Macaca fascicularis: one gene and its partner. The protein of the gene in region 2 purifies or fractionates together with the protein of the main gene of each other region. This does not show direct contact. Links are inferred from orthologs where the notes say so. Each region holds a gene or a part of one and is shown on either strand. Other genes may lie near its edges.

Evidence for each region.
Region 1: the proteins of CTTNBP2NL (region 2) and STRN3 purify together in Homo sapiens (affinity purification with mass spectrometry; 4 studies listed by BioGRID and IntAct, with this or other methods). This does not show direct contact. The link is inferred for Macaca fascicularis from reciprocal best matches to the Homo sapiens genes CTTNBP2NL and STRN3.

The regions. Positions count from the first base shown.
Region 1 is NC_088381.1:98,726,453-98,735,809, reverse strand, and holds part of STRN3 (striatin-3), read left to right. Parts: intron 1-3,928; coding exon 3,929-4,069; intron 4,070-9,150; coding exon 9,151-9,284; intron 9,285-9,357. UniProt on the Homo sapiens protein: Calmodulin-binding scaffolding protein which is the center of the striatin-interacting phosphatase and kinase (STRIPAK) complexes.
Region 2 is NC_088375.1:121,931,314-121,940,670, forward strand, and holds part of CTTNBP2NL (CTTNBP2 N-terminal-like protein), read right to left. Parts: intron 6,232-9,357; coding exon 6,124-6,231; intron 4,759-6,123; coding exon 3,277-4,758; 3' UTR 1-3,276. UniProt on the Homo sapiens protein: Regulates lamellipodial actin dynamics in a CTTN-dependent manner. Associates with core striatin-interacting phosphatase and kinase (STRIPAK) complex to form CTTNBP2NL-STRIPAK complexes.

The DNA of each region.
Region 1 (9,357 bases), on a different chromosome or scaffold from region 2:
GGCTAGTTTTTTTGTATTTTTTAGTAGAGACGGGGTTTCACCGTGTTAGCCAGAATGATCTCGATCTCCTGACCTCGTGATCCGCCCATCTCGGCCTCCCAAAGTGCTGGGATTACAGGCTTGAGCCACCGCGCCGGGCCGATTTCACTCTTTAAAAACAAACTATTCATGTCCTTTAACTCGGGATTTTTTTCTTTCAAGAAAATAACTTAGGTGTTTTGCCTAGGATCAGAATGTATCAGATTGATACTCTTTAATCAGTGCACTTTTTAAAACTGAAGAGTCACTTTGCAGCTGAAGTTATTTTTTCTTATTATTGTGATCTCGTATTTATTTAAGACAACAGTTGTGTGAAAGCTTTAATTATAGAAAATAGAACAGATCTAGCAAACATTACTTAACTAAATAAGCTTATCTTTTCCAGATTGTTTGTCTCCTAACAGTTTTGCTTCAGAATATAAAAGTTGATCAACAAAGGGAGGGCTTATTTGAGAAAGGGAAAATGTTAGATTTATTCAAAAGTACTATTTTACTTACAGTGATAGCATAGGAAGATAAATTTCATGGCATGAGCGTGTACATGTTAGAGTGGAATTTGAAAACGTAACAGTAGTCTATAGTTTGGCTTACACGTGGCATAATTAGTATATTTTTCATTGTGTCAGTCCGTTTAGAGGATTATGCATTTATATAGGACTTTCTATTTGTTAAGAAATAGGTGGGTTGTTTTCACAGTAGTAGAAAAGTTTTTCTAGCTGGGCACCATGGCTCATACCTGCAATCCTAGCACTTTGGGATGCTTAGGAGAGAGGATTGCTTTACCCCAGCAGCCAATACCAGGCTAGGCAGCATGGTGAGACCATCTCTACAAAAATAAAAAATACGAAAATTAGCTGAGTGTGGTAGTACATGACTGTGGTCCCAGCTACTCTGGAGACCGAGGTAGGAGGATTGCCTGAGTCTAAGAGTTCAAGACCAGCCTCGACAACATGGTAAGACCCTGTCTCTATAAAAAAAATTTTTTAAATTAGCCAAGCTTGGTGGTACGTGCCTGTGGTCCCAGCTACTGGGCAGGCTGAGGTGGAAGGATCACTTGAGTCCGGGAGGTCAAGAGCCAAGGAGATCAAGGCTGTAGAGAGCCGTGTTTGTGTCACTGCATTCTAGCCTGGGTGACAGGGCAAGACCTTGTTTCAAAAATAATAATAAAAATTAAAAAATAAAAGTTTTTCTTGCTGTAAGAATTAGAAAAAGTATTTGTACTTCTATAAATTTCAGTTTTTGTTTAATTAGTGCTTAATGGGCCTTCAAATATGCCTTTAAATATTGATATTAATATTGTCTAGTATCCTGTTATACCCCTACAGTTTTCTCATTGCTGATAAGACATCACATTTTTTATTTGAAATTGTTTTGTTGCGTTTATTATATTTAGAATATTGGATAGATTTAGAAAGAAAATGAAGACATTAAATTTGCAGTTGAAAGATGCTCTACACAATAGAGTAAAGACTAAATTGTGAAATCTGCTGTCATCTTTTGGCAGCGTTTGAGAAACTAGGATTAGAGCAGGGAAGTTTCATCATTTCCTCAACTTGGCACCGTGTCACACTGAAACTATCTGGCTATAGTATGTAAATAATATTATATAATTTGGGATCCTCAGTTTGAACAGTAGCTTCCATAATAGCTCCTAATTTCTTTCCCTTCTGTAACTTCCAGTTCATGTGTACAGGAAGATTTTGACTTTACATAATCTGTAACAAAACTTTGTCAAGGCTTTATTATGTTTCACATTAACTATCATATAATGAAATTATTTACAAGGTAGTATTTAATAAAGTCATTTTATGTTACACACAAATAAGAGAACATTGAAAGATCAACAAAAGCTTTACAGAAGAGATGAAACTGGTGTGGAGGAATGGGTAGAATTTAGATAGGCTGAGGTGCATGTTAGAAGATTAGAAAGTGTGTGTGTGTGTGTGTGTGTGTGTGTGTGTGTGTAGAAAGCATTCTCACCTTTCTGAGAATGGGTGAGGACAAATATGACAAAATATGGCAGAAGTAAACTCAGTGAACACTGAAACTACATATGGAAACTGCTTTGACTGGAAAATGGAGGGAGTTTGTATTGTGGATCATTAAAAGATAAGATGGGGTAGAAAAAATAGGATCAGATCATAAAGCACATGATGAAAGGTTAAGTACATGATTTTAGTTAACTTTGATCCAGAGTGTTGAAGTGCTACTTGTGGTTTCTCAGTGAGGGGAGATATAATAAATGTAATAATTTTGGAAAATTAGTTGTAGTGTATTAATGTGATTGAAGGTAAATGGAGCTCAGAGATAGAAGAACCGATTAGGAGTCTGTTATAGTAATTCATAAGGTTGAAAGCCTTGATTAAAGTCAATAGAGAGATAAACTTGGAGAATACTTTAAAGGAAGATTCTTTTTTTAAAAAAGCCCCCACCCTTTTATAATTTTACAAGTTGAAGAAGAATTAAGATATGGTTGCAGATTTTTAAGAAGCGAAATTAAATAAAGGATGGTGGTAGTCATACAAGTGGGAAAGATACAAATGGGAGCTATTTTTGAGAAAGAATAATGTTTATGTTCTTTTACATTGAATTTAACTGGTGGTTGGATATCTAGTAGACAGTTTTTTGTTTATTGGAGAATTTGTTTACAGTCATTTCTCTGTGGGGGAAAATCCTCAGGTAACACTGAGTTTCTTCATTATTATTAGTTAGGAAATTCAGACTACATAACATATTACCTAATCCAGAAGTAGAGTTGTTTAAGCATTTCTAAGAAATTAGGAATTACTGTAAAATAGGACCAATAAATGTTTAAAAGTCCACCTATTTCCACTAAATTTTACCATCTAATTGTCTGGTATTTTGTTAAGGATACATAGATGGGTAATAGTTCTTAGAGTTACTTACACTCAAATAGCCACAGTGAACTTAACATCCATTAATGATGACGTTAGTAAATATAAGGTTATAATGTTTGACCTTGGACTTACCTATTTTATTTTTTTAAACTTATGTAGATTATAAAGCATTGTCTTTTCAAAGTATTTTTTTCTGACATTCTTAAAACTTGTTTTCTTTCAAAATATATGGTTCAAAATAAATAATTCTGCTATTTCTAAAGTTCAGAGTTAAAGAATATTCTACAATACTACAGAAGCTTTTGAGTTTTATATGTTTTGGCCTGAATTATCCAGGCAACAGCCAAAATTCTTCCCTTACATTTGTGGCTTATGACAGTGCTGACTTTCATATCATGAGAAACTCAGAGATCTATCTCATGGATAAATCAGGTTTTTCAGATTTGGGAAAAATGAGAAAAACATTTTGGAAGAAATTGGGGATGATTTGTTAATGACAAATTTGTACTAACATGGCAGGAAAATATCCATGGAAACACCAGGTAAAGTTAATCGTTTGTTGCACCCTCATAAAAATTATTTGTACTTATTCCTTTGTTAACTTTTTTAAACAGTGAATTATGTTGAAAAGCCCTTATTTTATTCTTTATACTGGTAAATGTTAACCTTAAACACCAAAATTTTCCTTTGTTTTAATGATACCTTCTGTGTCTGTGAGTTTACAGAACTGTAAAGAACTGTCTCTAAAGTATTCTATGGAGATATATATATATCTTTAGAGAGAGAGATATATGTAATACATATATGTATCTTTATATATATCTCTCTCTCTCTCCACAGAAATAATAAATATTTAAACTCAATGTGTTTTGGGGGATGGTATAGAAAATGGAAGACATCTTTAATTTTCTGATATTTTAATAACTGAGACTTCTTAATAGTCTGTTTTGTTAATGAACTGGTTTTAGACGCTGCTGGCAAGTCAAGCGGTAGCCATTAAATGAACCTCTACTGCTGACATTAATTTACAGGGGCCAACAGGACAAAACTCTACGACATGATAGCTGATCTGGGAGATGATGAGCTGCCCCACATCCCTTCAGGAATCATTAATCAGTCTAGGTCAGCCTCTACTAGAATGACTGATCATGAAGGTGCAAGAGCAGAGGAAGGTACAGAATTTAGCTACCATGTTTATTTACATTTCAGAAGACCTTAAATCCAAATCACATCTTAATATTGCAACTAGGCTACTGTTTAAAATGTTGATGATCATTTTATATGATCTTTAGAGAAGGTGTTGGGCAAGCTCTTGATGTAATTAATTTAGGGATTTTGACATTTCTGGCTTCTATTTCTTCATATTTTGTTTTCATTTTTAATGTGAGGAGGAGTTGTTTCCATCATAGGTGAATTCAGAGTCTTTAATTTTAACTACAGATCCAGTAATGGGAAAATAGTAACTTACAAAAACAAACTTAAAATAATACATATGGAAAAAGCTGCTCATTTTGTCTTATTGCTTAAATTTAGCAGCTAATAATAATTACCACTTACTAGAAGACAACTGTGGTGCCAGGCATTGTGCTTGGAACCTTTTTTTTTTTTTCTTTCTTTCTTTTTTTTTTTCCATGAGACTGAGTCTCACTCTGTTGCCCAGGCTGGAGTGCAGCTCACTGCAACTTTCGCCTCCTGGGGTCAAGCGAGTCTCCTGCCTCAGCCTCCCAAGTAGCTGGGACTACAGGTGCATGCCACCATGCCTGGCCAGTTTTTTGTATTTTTAGTAGAGACAGAATATTACCATGTTGGCCAGGCTGGTCTCAAACTCCTGACCTCAAGTGATCCGCCTACCTTGGCTCCCAAAGTGCTAGGATTACAGGTGTTAGCCACAGTGCCCAACCTGTTACTTTAAATATGTATTACTTTAAAAAATATGTGTAACTGTTGCCTCAATTAATCCTTTGAGAATAAGGCAATATCATTATTCTTTAACTTGGTAGCAAGTATATGCTACCTAGTAATGAATTTTATAAAATTTGCCTAAACTAGAAATGTGTAGGAAATGAAAGTACTACTTAAACGTTTTTTCCAAAATTGATTTTGGCCAAAGATATATAGGTATACTTGAATCATTTATAACTCTAAGTCTAGATGTTTATAAGTATTGAATCTGAGTTTTTAACCAAAGATTATTGTGACATACGAGATACAGTAATTTGGCATATATATTAAATTTCATTGATGTTATTGCCTTTGCTGTGTAAAGAGGATTTGTTTGATGTCCCAGTCAAAAAATTTTAAATGCATCTTGTTCCCTTTTAAGATTTCCCTAGTGGCACAGTTTCCTTACAGTTAAATAATTTTGCATTTTTTTCCCTCTCATAATTTACCATTTACTTCACTCACCTTAAAAAAATCACTAAAATAACAGTCATTCAAAGCAAAATGAATGAAAAATAAAATAGTGTCTGTTAATTTTTTCAGATCTCATTTCCACTATTGAGATATATTCCTGTTTTACTTTAGAATGAAAAATAAAATAGTGTCTGTTAATTTTTTCAGATCTCATTTCCATTATTGAGATATATTCCTGTTTTACTTTAGAAGTATTTTCTAAACTACACATAGCAACTCCATTTTTTTTTTTTAATGCATTTAGTGATGATTTTGCTTCATTTTTGGTCTGTTTTGCCAAATATGCATAGCACAACTTGCTAAAATTTTTGTAATTAATGTACATTTAAACTGCAAGTTTTGCAGTTTAAGGCAAACCCATGTTAGCAGTGTGAACCCTTTTAAATGTTTCAAACCAATGACTTATGGTAAAAGCCAATCAAGGCACACTCTACACAAAAACCAGCTTAGAGCTCTCTATGTGTGTTTGTTTATGTGTTATGTGTGTGTGTTAAAGAAAGAATATAGGTCAGTGATCTGTTTCTTGATGCTGGGAGGAGGGCGAGGGGAGAGATTTGATAAGTGTGAACTTCATTACAGTTTTTGAAGTGTCGATCTTACTAGAATTTGTTATTTAAAGAGATGTGAGTTTGACTTCAAGCTAAGAAGGCAGCTTTGGAGTACATAATCTCTTTATTTTCAGTGGCACTGTCCAACTTACTTCTTTACTTTTGAAGTCCATGTCCTACCTCATTTTGTAAAGAACAATGTCTGTTTTCTAGGAGTGGTACTTCAACATTACAATCTTCTAGACTGTTGTTACTAAAGACTTGAGACATATCACATTGCCGCTGGTATAAATGGAATCTGTAACCTGGACTAAGTTCTTGGGAAAAAGAGTTCAGTATGTGAGCTACAGGTTTTCTTCATGATAAGTGTCCATCAAAAGGAAGATTAGTTATAAAAATCTGAAAAAAACCTTGTATTTTATAGACCCATTATACTAGTATTGTTATATTACTTGATGAAATCCTTCTTAGGCCTCCTAATAAAATGTCTTATAATTTCCATCATTAAATTAAAAACTAGGCCAGGCATAGTAGCTCATGCCTGTAATTCCAGCACTTTGGGAGCCCAAGGCAGGAGGATCACTTGAGCCCAGGAATTCAAGACCAGCCTGGGCAACATAGCAAAACCCTGTCTCTATTAGAAAAAAAAAAAAAAAAAGATACCAAAACTAATTTTTTAGGCTGGTTAAAATAATTATATTTTTCTTTGAATTACTAATGACATTTTTATACTATGGGTAATTATATTACCATTAATAAAATGAATTTTTAGGATAGAAATTAATTCCATCTGCAGGGAAATAAGGGTAAACAAATGAGTAGCTGCTGGGATTACCATATGCCACAGTGATGGGTAATATGGAAAGCAGAGATAATAGTGTAAAAGAAGTTTTACACATATATATGTAAATAAATACTGAGTAAGCAGAATAGTTTGCAATATCTACATAAATATGTCATGAAATATATGTGTGTATATAGAGAAAAGGATAGAAATGTGGTCATATGATTAATTAGAAATGAGTATAATACTAATTTTTTGTTAAGTACAATTAATCCAAAACGCGAGTAAAACTAACATCCAGACACTAACCTTCACATGCTCCTAAATTGGTCAGTGGCTGATCAGAGATAGTCCTGCAAAATGATTTGTTACGTTAAAGTTATTTTATTGGGCTTTGTGTCAGTGAATGTTTGTATAATTGTGAGTGGGAATAACTGTGGCATTTTAGAAACAAATTATGAGCTTAAAGTAAAAATATTTCTTTGTCTAGAGAAAAATGCTTTGAGTAAATGTTATCTAATGACTTTTATGTACTTATCCTTAAACATAAGTTTAAATTATTGATTTTATAGTTGATAGCTGCTTCTGGTATTGCCAATAACTGCATGCTAATAATTTGTAGGAAAAGATCAATGCTACAGATTATTCAGATTCATAAGTGTCATAATTGAAAGATTAACTAAATACTAGTTAGGATCTCTATGTATATATTTTCTTTCAGGTGCTTTCAGATTCATTTTAGATCAAGTAACTGAATCAGAGCTGCATTTTAGAACCCTATTTGAGTCAGATTATATAGCTTACTTTGATAGATAAAATAATAAAATAACAAGATGTTTTAAATAAAGATGAATTTTATTTTGCCATAGTATACATATATGAATTATATCTTCTCAGAATTATTTCCAGTAGTATTAGTGATGACTGTCAAGTTTCATTACAGCTCTTGTGTTTCCTGTAGCATATTTATATCATTTTTCATGGGAATTTTTAAAAAATTGACAAACAGCTTAATTTTTTTTGTATAATGTTTCCCTTTTAAATTTGCTCATGAATTTTAAGTGTGTTTTAATATATTGAGTTTTATATTATAATGATTTGAGTATTTCTCCCTTGTTACCTTAATGTTAAGTTTTTGCTTTCAAAGCATTTGAAATTATATTGAAGGTTGTTGCTTAAACTATGACTGTTACAACAAAATATTTAGATAATAGTTATTCAATTATGGCAGAGTTTAATTGGTTAATAGTATGTATAGAAAGGAAAACACATTTTAAATAATTCGAACTGCTAATATTAACATGAAAAGCTGTAATAATGCACATGATATAGTCAAGAAATCTAAGTGAAGCTCAACCTGAGTTTAGTTTGAAATTGAAATGGCACATCTGATCAGAAATTAAAACTCTGTGGTCAAGATTAGTTGCTTCATTTTAGAATGTCATGGTAACTAGAATGGGACATTAAAATAAAAATCATAGTCAAAGCTTTAAAGCCGGAAGACAGGCTGGACGCGGTGGCTCACGCCTGTAATCCCAGCACTTTGGGAGACCGAGGTGGGTGGATCACTTGAAGTCAAGAGTTCAAGACCATTCTGGCCAACAAGGTGAAAGCCTATCTCTCCTAAAAACAAAAAAATTAGCTGGGCGTGATGGCTGGCACCTGTAATCCCAGCTACTTGGAGGCTAAGACAGGAGAATTGCTTGAACTCAGCAGGTGGAGGTTGCAGTGAGCCAAGATCGCACCACTGTACTCCAGCCTGGGTGACAGAGCAAGACTCTGTAAATAAATAAATTAATTAATTAATTAAATAAAGCTGGAAGATGTTCTGAAGTCCACATGGATTAACCTCTTTATAGAAAGGAAACTGACGTTGTTGGTGGAAGAACTTTTTCCTAGACCATTGCTGTTACTGAAGGAATCTGAACAATTAAAGCTTCATTCTAGTGAACTGATACAGTATATAGCTGACTGTAAACCATTTACATTTCAGTGTTTGTACTAGTTTTTATCAGGGACTAGAATGCCTAGTACTTCTTTAGAAAGCAAAAGGACTTAGCAACAACCTATTAACATTTAAAAAATACTGTATGACTACTTTGAGGTCCTTGAGGTCCATGGTAGAGATTTCCCCCCATGAATAGCAAAAATCTGATATTTAACTCCATTGTTTAATCAAAATTTGTCCTATTTCTTATTTAACATGTAAACTATAGTTATAATTGTACTGAAGTGATAAGAGATTTAGACAAAGCTTTTGTGCCCCAACTTCCACCCCAGAATAATATATCTAGTGCACATTTTATTTGTGGACAGTTACTACACCACAGTTCCAACACATTTGTTTAACACTGCTTAGTAACAGGATTTTTTGAGTAGAAGTGGGAAAATAAAAATTAATTATATTACTGAATATTGTAACTGTTAAGTGCTTAAATTTTCCCCACAATATTGTCTTGTACTGTATGATTTTTCAGCATTTAAGAAGCGGTTTTGTTCTTTATAGCTGAACCAATAACGTTTCCATCTGGAGGAGGCAAGTCATTTATTATGGGTTCTGATGATGTTTTGTTAAGTGTACTGGGCCTTGGAGACCTTGCAGACTTGACGGTAACAAATGATGCAGACTATAGTTATGATGTAAGTGCAGTTTTATTTTTAATTTTTTAATGATTTAATAGAAGGCTCCTTATTTTTTGGAATCACTTATAAA
Region 2 (9,357 bases):
TGCAGCAGCAACAGCACTGGAGTAGTTGAAAAGGGTTGCATTAATCATTTGTAAAATGAGAGGGCAGAACAAGACTATGCTTTCTTAAGCAGGAATACATGAGCCATGGATGGCTTCAGGGTCTCTGGATCCTATGAAGCCATCAAACAAATTTTGCATATAGGCATATTCATTTTTCTAGGGATAAACTTTACATCTTTTCTAAGATTCTCAAAAAGGTCCAGAACCACCAAATGGTTTAAAAAATCACAGACTGGATTATTGTAAAGGCTTTTTCCAGCTCTAAGACTCTAAAGAAAATCAATGTTTTAGTTCCTTAGGGAGTCTAACCTGGATGGGTCATTGACTTCATTTGGTTTGTCAAAGCCACAGTCAAGTGCTCCCTCTATACCACCCCCTCTTCCCAACAAAATATGCCCAAATTGTGCCATTTTTCACTTTGTACAAACAAGACTATTTTCCCCCCAAACAGCATGATTTAACTTGTTTTAATGTAGTCTGTTATAAAAATGAAGACTTCTGCATGGTGTATTTGGCTTTACAAACGTTAATGCCTAGTTAATGCTTGTGTTATATGGTACACATCATTACAATCTGTTGGCCGGTAACAGCTTTTGCAACATGGGTTAATACTAAAATTGTGAATCATGGAACTTTTACTTAGCACACACACACAATCTACAGCAAACTTAAATACTAATCTATAATACCTAACTGGGTTATTGGATCCATTGCAAGATTGTGCTTATTTATCTCAGAAGATAGGCAACTAGCAAAAATACACATTTCTTTTGCATATCCCCACCCCCATATTACACTGTAAAAGAAATGCATTATTCAGTGCACTTCCTAAGAAATAAACTTCCTTATAGTATCTCTCTCTATATATATCTATCCCCAAACAAAGGAAGAGCACAATGCAACTTTTAAGATTACCATTTAAAGCAAAAGAGACAATAACTCTCTGGCACTGTAGCCTCCTCTCCAGTTTAGAAAGTTTAACTATTTTATCAACACTATTGGCTCTGCATAGGAATAAAGTTCAATGCATGATTGTTTTGGACAGTTTAAGATACCCCCTACATCATTTTGATAGACACCTTGGGGCATTAGTAGCATTTTCATTTTTCACGTATTTGCCTTTATCAAACTATAAGCTGTGGAGTCGCCAATATACTCCATTGTGATTTATACACTGATTTCCATCACCTGCCTTTTTACTATCAACTCTTATTAGACTAAAAGGAAATAGACTTAAATTATAGCAGGAGGTCAGGGCTGCTGGATAGATGTTGGCTAGGAGAATGTATGTGAGGACACCAAGGCCTCCCCTGTATGGACACAAAATCCATATAACTACTGTGTCTGAGCTGGGTTGTGGATAGTCTTATTTGGCAGAGGGGGATAGTCATTATATTCTATGAACCTTGCCAGCTGTACTGGCCTACACAGTTGGAAAATTTGGAGGCTTTTGTCCACATAGATTTGCTATGATGAAAATGACAGAAGTTTCTAGAATGAAAGAGGTTGCAACTTGGCAGCTTGCAACCTAAATCCAGCTGCAGAAGTGTTTGTTTAACCAGCACTATTTAAACATTTTAAAATCAGTTCTTGATATTTAAAAATGAGAATATTTCTCATGAAAATCTGGATTTCAAAAAATGTGAAGAACTGGTTATCCTGGTTTAGCATTCTTGCATGGCAGCAAGCAGATGGAGCTGAACAGATGCCTTTTTTAAATGGGGCTTGGGCACTTCAGTTTGCCACAGCTCCCACTACTCCCAGCTGTTTTACACCACTTGAGAGGCCTGTTTCACTCATTTATATGACCAGTTGAGTTTTGTGACACTGGGGCTAGTTTAGTTCTGCCTATTTATTTTTTTTAATAGAGATGGGGTCTCGCTATGTTGATGAGGCTGGTCTTGAACACCTGGTCTCAAGCGATCCTCCCATCTCAGCCTCCCAAAGTGATAGGATTACAGGCATGAGCCACTGTGCCTGGCCAGCTCTGCCTTTTTATGATACTGAAGATCTGGGCTTCATTTGGATTTTCCCCACCATCCTGTGGACAAAACTCCTCCTTTGATTGCGTCCCAGCCACATCTAGTTGCTTTGGTAGGTAATCTTAATGTGCAGTTCTACTTGTCCTTTATGCTATATTGCAAACTCCAAAGATATAATCACACTAATATTTATGTGTTTAAGTGTGTGTATGTTAAACATGTAAAGGGGTAATGTTTCTGTACAGATCTATGTATACTTCCCATTTAAGCAAAAGTTAATTTGGTTTTAGAGATACAGATACCAGGTTGTGGCAGCTTGGAGAATAAGTGTAACAATTTGGTAAAACTTGTATAATTCTGACTTATAATATTACAAAGAGTGAATTTCAAGTTATTGCTTTTTGATTACAGAATAAAAATTTCATTCTGTTGCAAAACTTTTATACAGAATGAGTAACCATTTCCTATTCAAGTAACAGCAATCAGAATCAGAAGTTCCTTACACAACAGTAGATGTCTGAGACATTTTTTGAATGGAGATGTGATTTCATTCTGTTCAAGAACTTATGCAAGAAACTGGGGGTGACTCAATTTTTCAAAAGTACAAGAAAATCAGCACCCCAACTGATTTTCTCAGGAGGGTTTCTCAAGGGCTCTATAAAGCTCAGCTTGTGGTGAGTTCACACCCACCTTTAGAAGGATTCCCATTCTACGTATGCAGCCTTGTTTCAGAACACAAAGCTTGTATTAAAACATTAAAAGAGAATCAAAAGCAGTGTTGGTTTTTAACATTCAAAATTCGCAGAGGATGTCATTTTCTGCAATTAAATGATCCATTTTGTGTTTTTTGCTGCAGAATCACATTCATATGGCAGTCATATTTCAGGCACTTTTAAAACATGTTCATCTGGAATAAAAATCTGCATGAACCACTTCTGCATAATTCAAAATGAGTGTTGAGTGATTTTAGTTCCCAAATAGATACCAAATCACCACCTGGTGATTTGCTTTCTTCATCACAACATGACGGTGACTGCTGAGCTTGAGACATCTTTGAGGTGCCTTTCTGGCTTCAGTAAAAAGATGTGAGCCATAAAAATCCAAACTACTCAGTTTCTACTTAAAAAATACAAAATGGTGAAATACACTAAATGTATTATACAGATGGTTTCAGTTACTATCAAAATAAATAACGTAATCTGACTCAAAAGTCTGACTGAGCTCTTGGACGAAATCTGATGGAATGTCAAACGTGGAGACTCCCTCCTAGGGACTAGCTGCTGGTAGGCAAAAGTAACTCAACATCCTTACCATTTGCTACAACAGTATTGGAAGAGCAGCTGCTGGCAAGGTCTTCTGTGGTGGTCAAAGAGGCTGCCTGGGAATGAGTTTTGGTCAGTGGAGTGGTAGCAGATGGAGAAGGGGTGAGGCCAGGTTTTTTGGGTGGGATGGGTGGAGGGTTTCCTCTCTCAGCTCTGGGGATGGTTGGGGACTTGATTCCTGGAGACAGGGGGCTCAGGGGACTGGACACTTTCCCTGGAGTAGGTGAATGGCTTGTGTCACCTCTTGCATTGGCAGTATTGGCCAGATTTCGATAGTCTGTGCCAAAGGGAGAGCTGTTGGGAGAGACTGGCTTGATTGGCCCTTGTTGGCTAGTGAATCTGGAGAGCACCTGAGTGACTGTGTTTCGGGCCAGCTGCTTGGCGGCAGAGTTGTCTATGAGGGTGGGGGATAAATCCCTGGACGGAGGGCTTTGTAGGCCACTGGCTTGTTGCTCCTGATCTGCTTGGGACTGAAATTTGTGCCGAGCTGCATGGAACCGTTGGTTGATCCCTACTTGGTAGGATGATTGGTAGCCAGGGCTGCTAGCTGATGACCCCAATAAACGCTTAGTGAGTACCGGTGAAGAGCAAGGAGAGGATGTTAGAGAGGAGGAGGCAGTGCTGCTGGGAGACAGTGAGCTCCCACTGGAAGGGAGTGGACTGGGTATTGGGACTGGAGTCTCAATCCCCACAGGACACCCACCATTCTCCACTGGTTTCTCTTGGGCCAGTGCCACAGATTTTTCCCGTGGAGGCACTTGGTTTTCTACATTGTTGCCTGTAGTCAGCTCCCTGGTAGTTTGTATCTCTGGGTCACAATGGCCATTGGTTTTTGCATATGAGTAAGCAGGAGTGGCAGGACCAGGCAGCCCAGTGTTTGTCATCTTGGCTATGTTGCTCCCATGGGTTCTTTCTGCTGGAAAACTCTCTGTTTGGCAAAACACAGACATTAGCATGAGAGGCTCAGTTGCTGTGCCTTTGGACACAGTTACTGGTTTCTTCAATTGCTCATTAGGGCTACTGTGCTGGTGGGAAGCCTCTAGGTCCTTCACTATCTTCTTTAAGCTTTCCATTTCTTCTTTCAGAGTTTTGGTCCGGTTCTCTTCTCGGTTCAGTTTTGCTCTCAGTTGTTCCCTTTCGATGTCAAACTCTGACAACTGCTTCTCTACCTGGGCCTCAGTCTGCAAGCCTCTCTTTCTCTCAGCTGCCAACTCTTCTTCCAGCTTACTCACCCGGCTCTTCTCCTTCTCCAATTTCAGGCTCAGCTCTCCTGCCTTCTGTCCTTCCTCGGCTGCCTTGTTGGTGGCTTTCTTGCACTCAAGCACAAGCATGGATGAGAGCTGCTTGTGGCGGGAGCGCTCCTCTTCCAGCTGACTAGAGAGCTTCTTCTGTTCTTTTTCAAACTTTTTCACTTGGGATTTTTCAAATTCCAACTAGAAAAAAAGAAAAGAGAGATATACTGAAAAACTATGATCAAGGAGAGTGTCTTTGTTAGCTGTTCTCTGGTATACAGGATTAACATGCATATCACAGTGCTTAGATCAAGTATTTCTGAAGTTTTAGAACACCTAACAAAAAATGCACACACTATGATTTAATCTTTCTTTGATGATTTGGGAGGCACTTCTAGTTCCTGTACTGTCTTGGAGTGATTAGTGGGAATATGATGTATCTTTGCGTTTCATGTATGTGCAGAGCATCAGAACCAATCAAAACAAGATAACAGAAAGCTGTATCAACCACATTTTGTGATGAATGTTGCTGAAAACAAACCTTTTAAAGTTTCAGCAATAATTTTCTTGGGTCTTAGAAACAAACAAACACAAACAGTTGCATTTGAATCATACTTTTTTTTTGAGACTGAGTTTTGCTCTTGTCTCCCAGGCTGGAGTGCAATGGCGCAATATTGACTCACCGCAACCTCCGCCCGTGGGTTCAAGCGATTCTCCTGCCTCAGCCTCCCAAGTAGCTGGGATCAGTCACGCGCCACCACACCCGGCTAATTTGGTATCTTTAGTAGAGATGGGGTTTTTCCATGTTGGTCAGGCTGGTCTCAAACTCCTGACCTCAGGTGATCCGCCCTCCTCGGCCTCCAAAAGTGCTGGGATTACAGGCGTGAACCACTGTGCCCAGCCTGAATCATATTTTTTACACAAATATAGTCTGTTTTAATTGTCTTCCCAACCCTATTTGAGGCAGAGATTCTCTGTGAGAAGGTAAGGGTTGAAGAAACTCAGTGTTTTTCAAACTCTGAGATCCATTAACAGATGGGGAAACAAATTGAGCCATGACTAGAATTTTAAAAAAATATATAAATAGAAAACATCAATGTGTACTGAAGCAGTAGGGGTTATATATCATTTCATGAGATTTTTGTTTCACGCATAACTGTGTGTGTCTATATATACTGGGTTGTGAATAAAATATCATTTCTTACTGGGGGTTTTAAGTCAAAAGATTGAGAGCTACAAGCCGTAAGTTACCATTCCCCAAAGAGTGTTCTATGGAACAATAGTCCCACAGTGAGGGATCTATGCCAATAAAAGATTTTCTAAAACCATGGATTTTCTAAACACAGAATACCCTATCTTGTTCTTCAAGACTCACAATGTGCTTCTGCATACTAAAGATCCTAACTAAGTTAGAAACCTGTTTAACTTTGGTTAATCCAGTAGTTCCTAAACTTATTTGACCACAAAGCCCCTTTTTTGAACAATACCAATTGGCATCCTGCAAAATAATCTTTGGGAAATGCGATTCCAGGCAAATGCTACTGTGAATCCCTCTACCTTAATTACCTGTTGAGTCAGCCTCTCTCTTTCCTTCTCTAGCATGTAGGTGACATCATCTCCTTCAGCTGTATCCTGTGCATGCCGCTGCCTTTCTTCCTCAAGGTCTAGGATCACCTTTAAAGAATTTTAAAAATTTCATTTCCAAATATCAAGGAGTCACATTTATTAATACAACCAATACTAAGTGCCAAATCAGGCACCTAAGATAGTTCCAGAGATCAAACAAATGAATAAATGAAACCCAGCAAGGGCTATCAAGGAGCACACTGACTTACAGTGAAAGACATGAAAGCTCTGCGTTTAACAGTAAGATATTTACTTTACTTGAAGTATGCAGAGAATGATATGCAAACAGAGAGAAGAGAGCAACTAATTAGCTAGAGGGGTTGAGGAGGTTTCGAGAAATAACGGCAATTCCAAGAAACTGCAGGCAGTTTGGTGTTACTGGGGGCCAGGTGCAGGTGATGGAGCAAGACAGGATCACAGAAACCTGAAAGCTGAGATTTTCCTCTCAATGCTCAAATCACCGGAGGCACCAAAGAAGGAGCCTGAAATTCAACATTTCAAATAGGTGACATTCTAAGTGTGCCTTGTTTAACTAATAATATACCTTTTTATATAGTTAGGTAAGAGGTGAAAAGACTCTCTTGACTTCCTACTGCATGAAAAAAGGCTCAATTATACAGATCTTAAATGGAGATTTTTCATAAGGCCTTTTATTTAACCTGCCTACCCCTATTCCACTTATCCTGGTGCCAAAGGATTAAGCCCAATTTTAAGGAGAAGACAAATATATTTATTTTTCGAGACAGGGTTTTTGCTCTGTCACCCAGGCTGGACTGCAGTCGTGCAATCACGGCTCACTGCTGCCTCAGCCTCCTAAGCTCAAGCAATTCTCTCACCTCTCAGCCTCCCGAGTAGCTGGGACTACAGGTGTGCACCACCACGCCCAGCTAATTTTAGTATTTTTTGTAGAGATGGGGTTTTCCCATCTTGCCCAGGCTGGTCTTGAACTCCCGGGCTCAAGTGATCCACCCGCCTCAGCCTCCCAAAATGCTGGGATTACAGGTGTGAGCCATCACACATGGCCGAGAATATCAATTTAAGGCGACATTTTTCACATAATCCCATCTACAACTGCAAATACTCTGATTGCTTAGTAGCTTCTGCTCATGCTTCAGAAGTGCCGTGGCCCAGACCTCCAGGGTAGAGCACTCTTGTCCCAAAGGCCATTTCTTAGTCTTCTCACTAAAAATTTTTATGAGTGAAGACAGAAAATTTTCTGGGACATGAAACCGCCCTATAAAAATACAAATGAGCTCATGCCTGTAATCCCAGTACTTTTGGGAGGCAGAGGTAGGAGGATCGCTTGAGCCCAGGAGTTGAAGACCAGCCATTTCTTTCTCCCCTTTCCCCTTTCTCTCTCCTTCCTTCTCTTCTCTTCTCTTTTCTTTTTGGGGAGACAGGGTCTTACTCTCACCGAAGCTGGAATGCATTGGCGTCATGTCGGCTCACTGCAACCTTTGCCTCCTAGGCTCAAGTGATCCTCCCACCTCAGCCTCCCGAGCAGCTGGGACTACAGGCATACACCACTATGGCCTGCTGATTTTTTGTAGATAGGGTGTCGCCATGTTGCCCAGGCTGGTCTCAAACACCTGGACTCAAGTGCTTCTTCTGCCTCAGCTTCCCAAAGTGATGGGATTACAGATGTGACCCACTGTGCCCAACCCAAAACCCTATTTCTACAAAAAAATAAAAAATTAGTTAGGCATGGTGAGGTGTGCATGTAGTCCCAGTTACTCAGGAGGCTGAGGTGGGAGGATCACCTCAGCCCAGGGAGGTCGAGGTTAGTAAGTTATGATTATGCCGTTGCACTCCAGCCCAGGCAACAGGGCAACAGAGTGAGACTTTGTCTCAAAAAAAAAAAAAAAAAAAAAAAAAAAAAAAAAAAAAAGGCTGGGCACAGTGGCTCATGCCTGTAATCCCAGCACTTTGGGAGGCCAAAGCGGGTGGATCACCTGAGGTTGGGAGTTTGGGACCAGCCTGACTAACATGGATAAACCCCATCTCTACTAAAAATATAAAATTAGCCAGGCGTGGTGGCACATGCCTGTAATCCCAGCTACTCAGGAGGCTGAGGCAGGAGAATCGCTTGAACCCAGTAGGCCGAGGTTGCGGTGAGCCAAGATTGTGCCATTGCACTCTAGCCTGGATAACAAGAGTGAAACTCTATCTCAAAAAAAAAAAAAAAAAAGAGTGACTGGTGCTGTGGTATGTGCTTGTAGTCCCAGATACTTGGGACCTGAGGTGGATCACTTGAGCCCAAGAGTTCCAGGATATAGGGTGCTATGATCGCACCTGTTAATAGCCACTGTACTCCAGCCCAAGCAAGATAGCAAGACCCTGTCTCTCAAAATAAAAGAAAGAAAAAAAATTTGGCACATTTCCTTTTTTAATCTAATTTTTCAATTTAATAGAAAGACATGCTTTTGGCCAAAAGTGGTAAGTCATATCTTCTCCCGTTTGAGAGTCCTCTAAAATTACAGAAATGGAATAAAAACACTAAAACCCCACAAAGACAAAGGAGAGAGCCTCTAGCAGAGAAGGAATTTTAATAATATTTTGAAGAAGAAAAGAGGCTGGAGGAGTGGTAACTACTTTAATTTGAAGGAGGGAAGCTGTTTTGCCTTGCAGAGCCCCAACGAGATGGAACCTGGAGGTGGCAGGTACTACAGAGGAGAAGTGAAATGTAGAACAGAAAACAGGAGAACTGGCTCAAAGCCTGTTTTTGTTTTGTTTTGTTTTTTGTTTTTGTTTTTGAGACAGAGTCTCGCTCTGTCACCCAAGCTGGATTACAGTGGTGTGATCTCAGCTCATTACAACCTCCACCTCCCGGGCTCAAGCTAATCTCCTGCCTCAGCCTCCCGAGTAGCTGGGATTACAGGCCCGCCACCATGCCTGGCTAATTTTTGTATTTTTAGCAGAGATAGGGTTTCACATGTTGGCTGGCCTGGCCTTGAACTCCTGACCTCAAGTGATCTGCCTGTCTTGGCCTCCCAAAGTGCTGGGATTACAGGCATGAGTCACCATGTCTGGCCTTTAAAGCCTGTATTTTCAGAATTATTTGTCCCTTCACACTGATTCCTGCACACAGACCATCAGCATCTGGCATCTGTCACATTTAGTATTCCCAAATCCTGAGCCTGTCACACTCAAGAAATAGTGTGACAGAGAATGGTG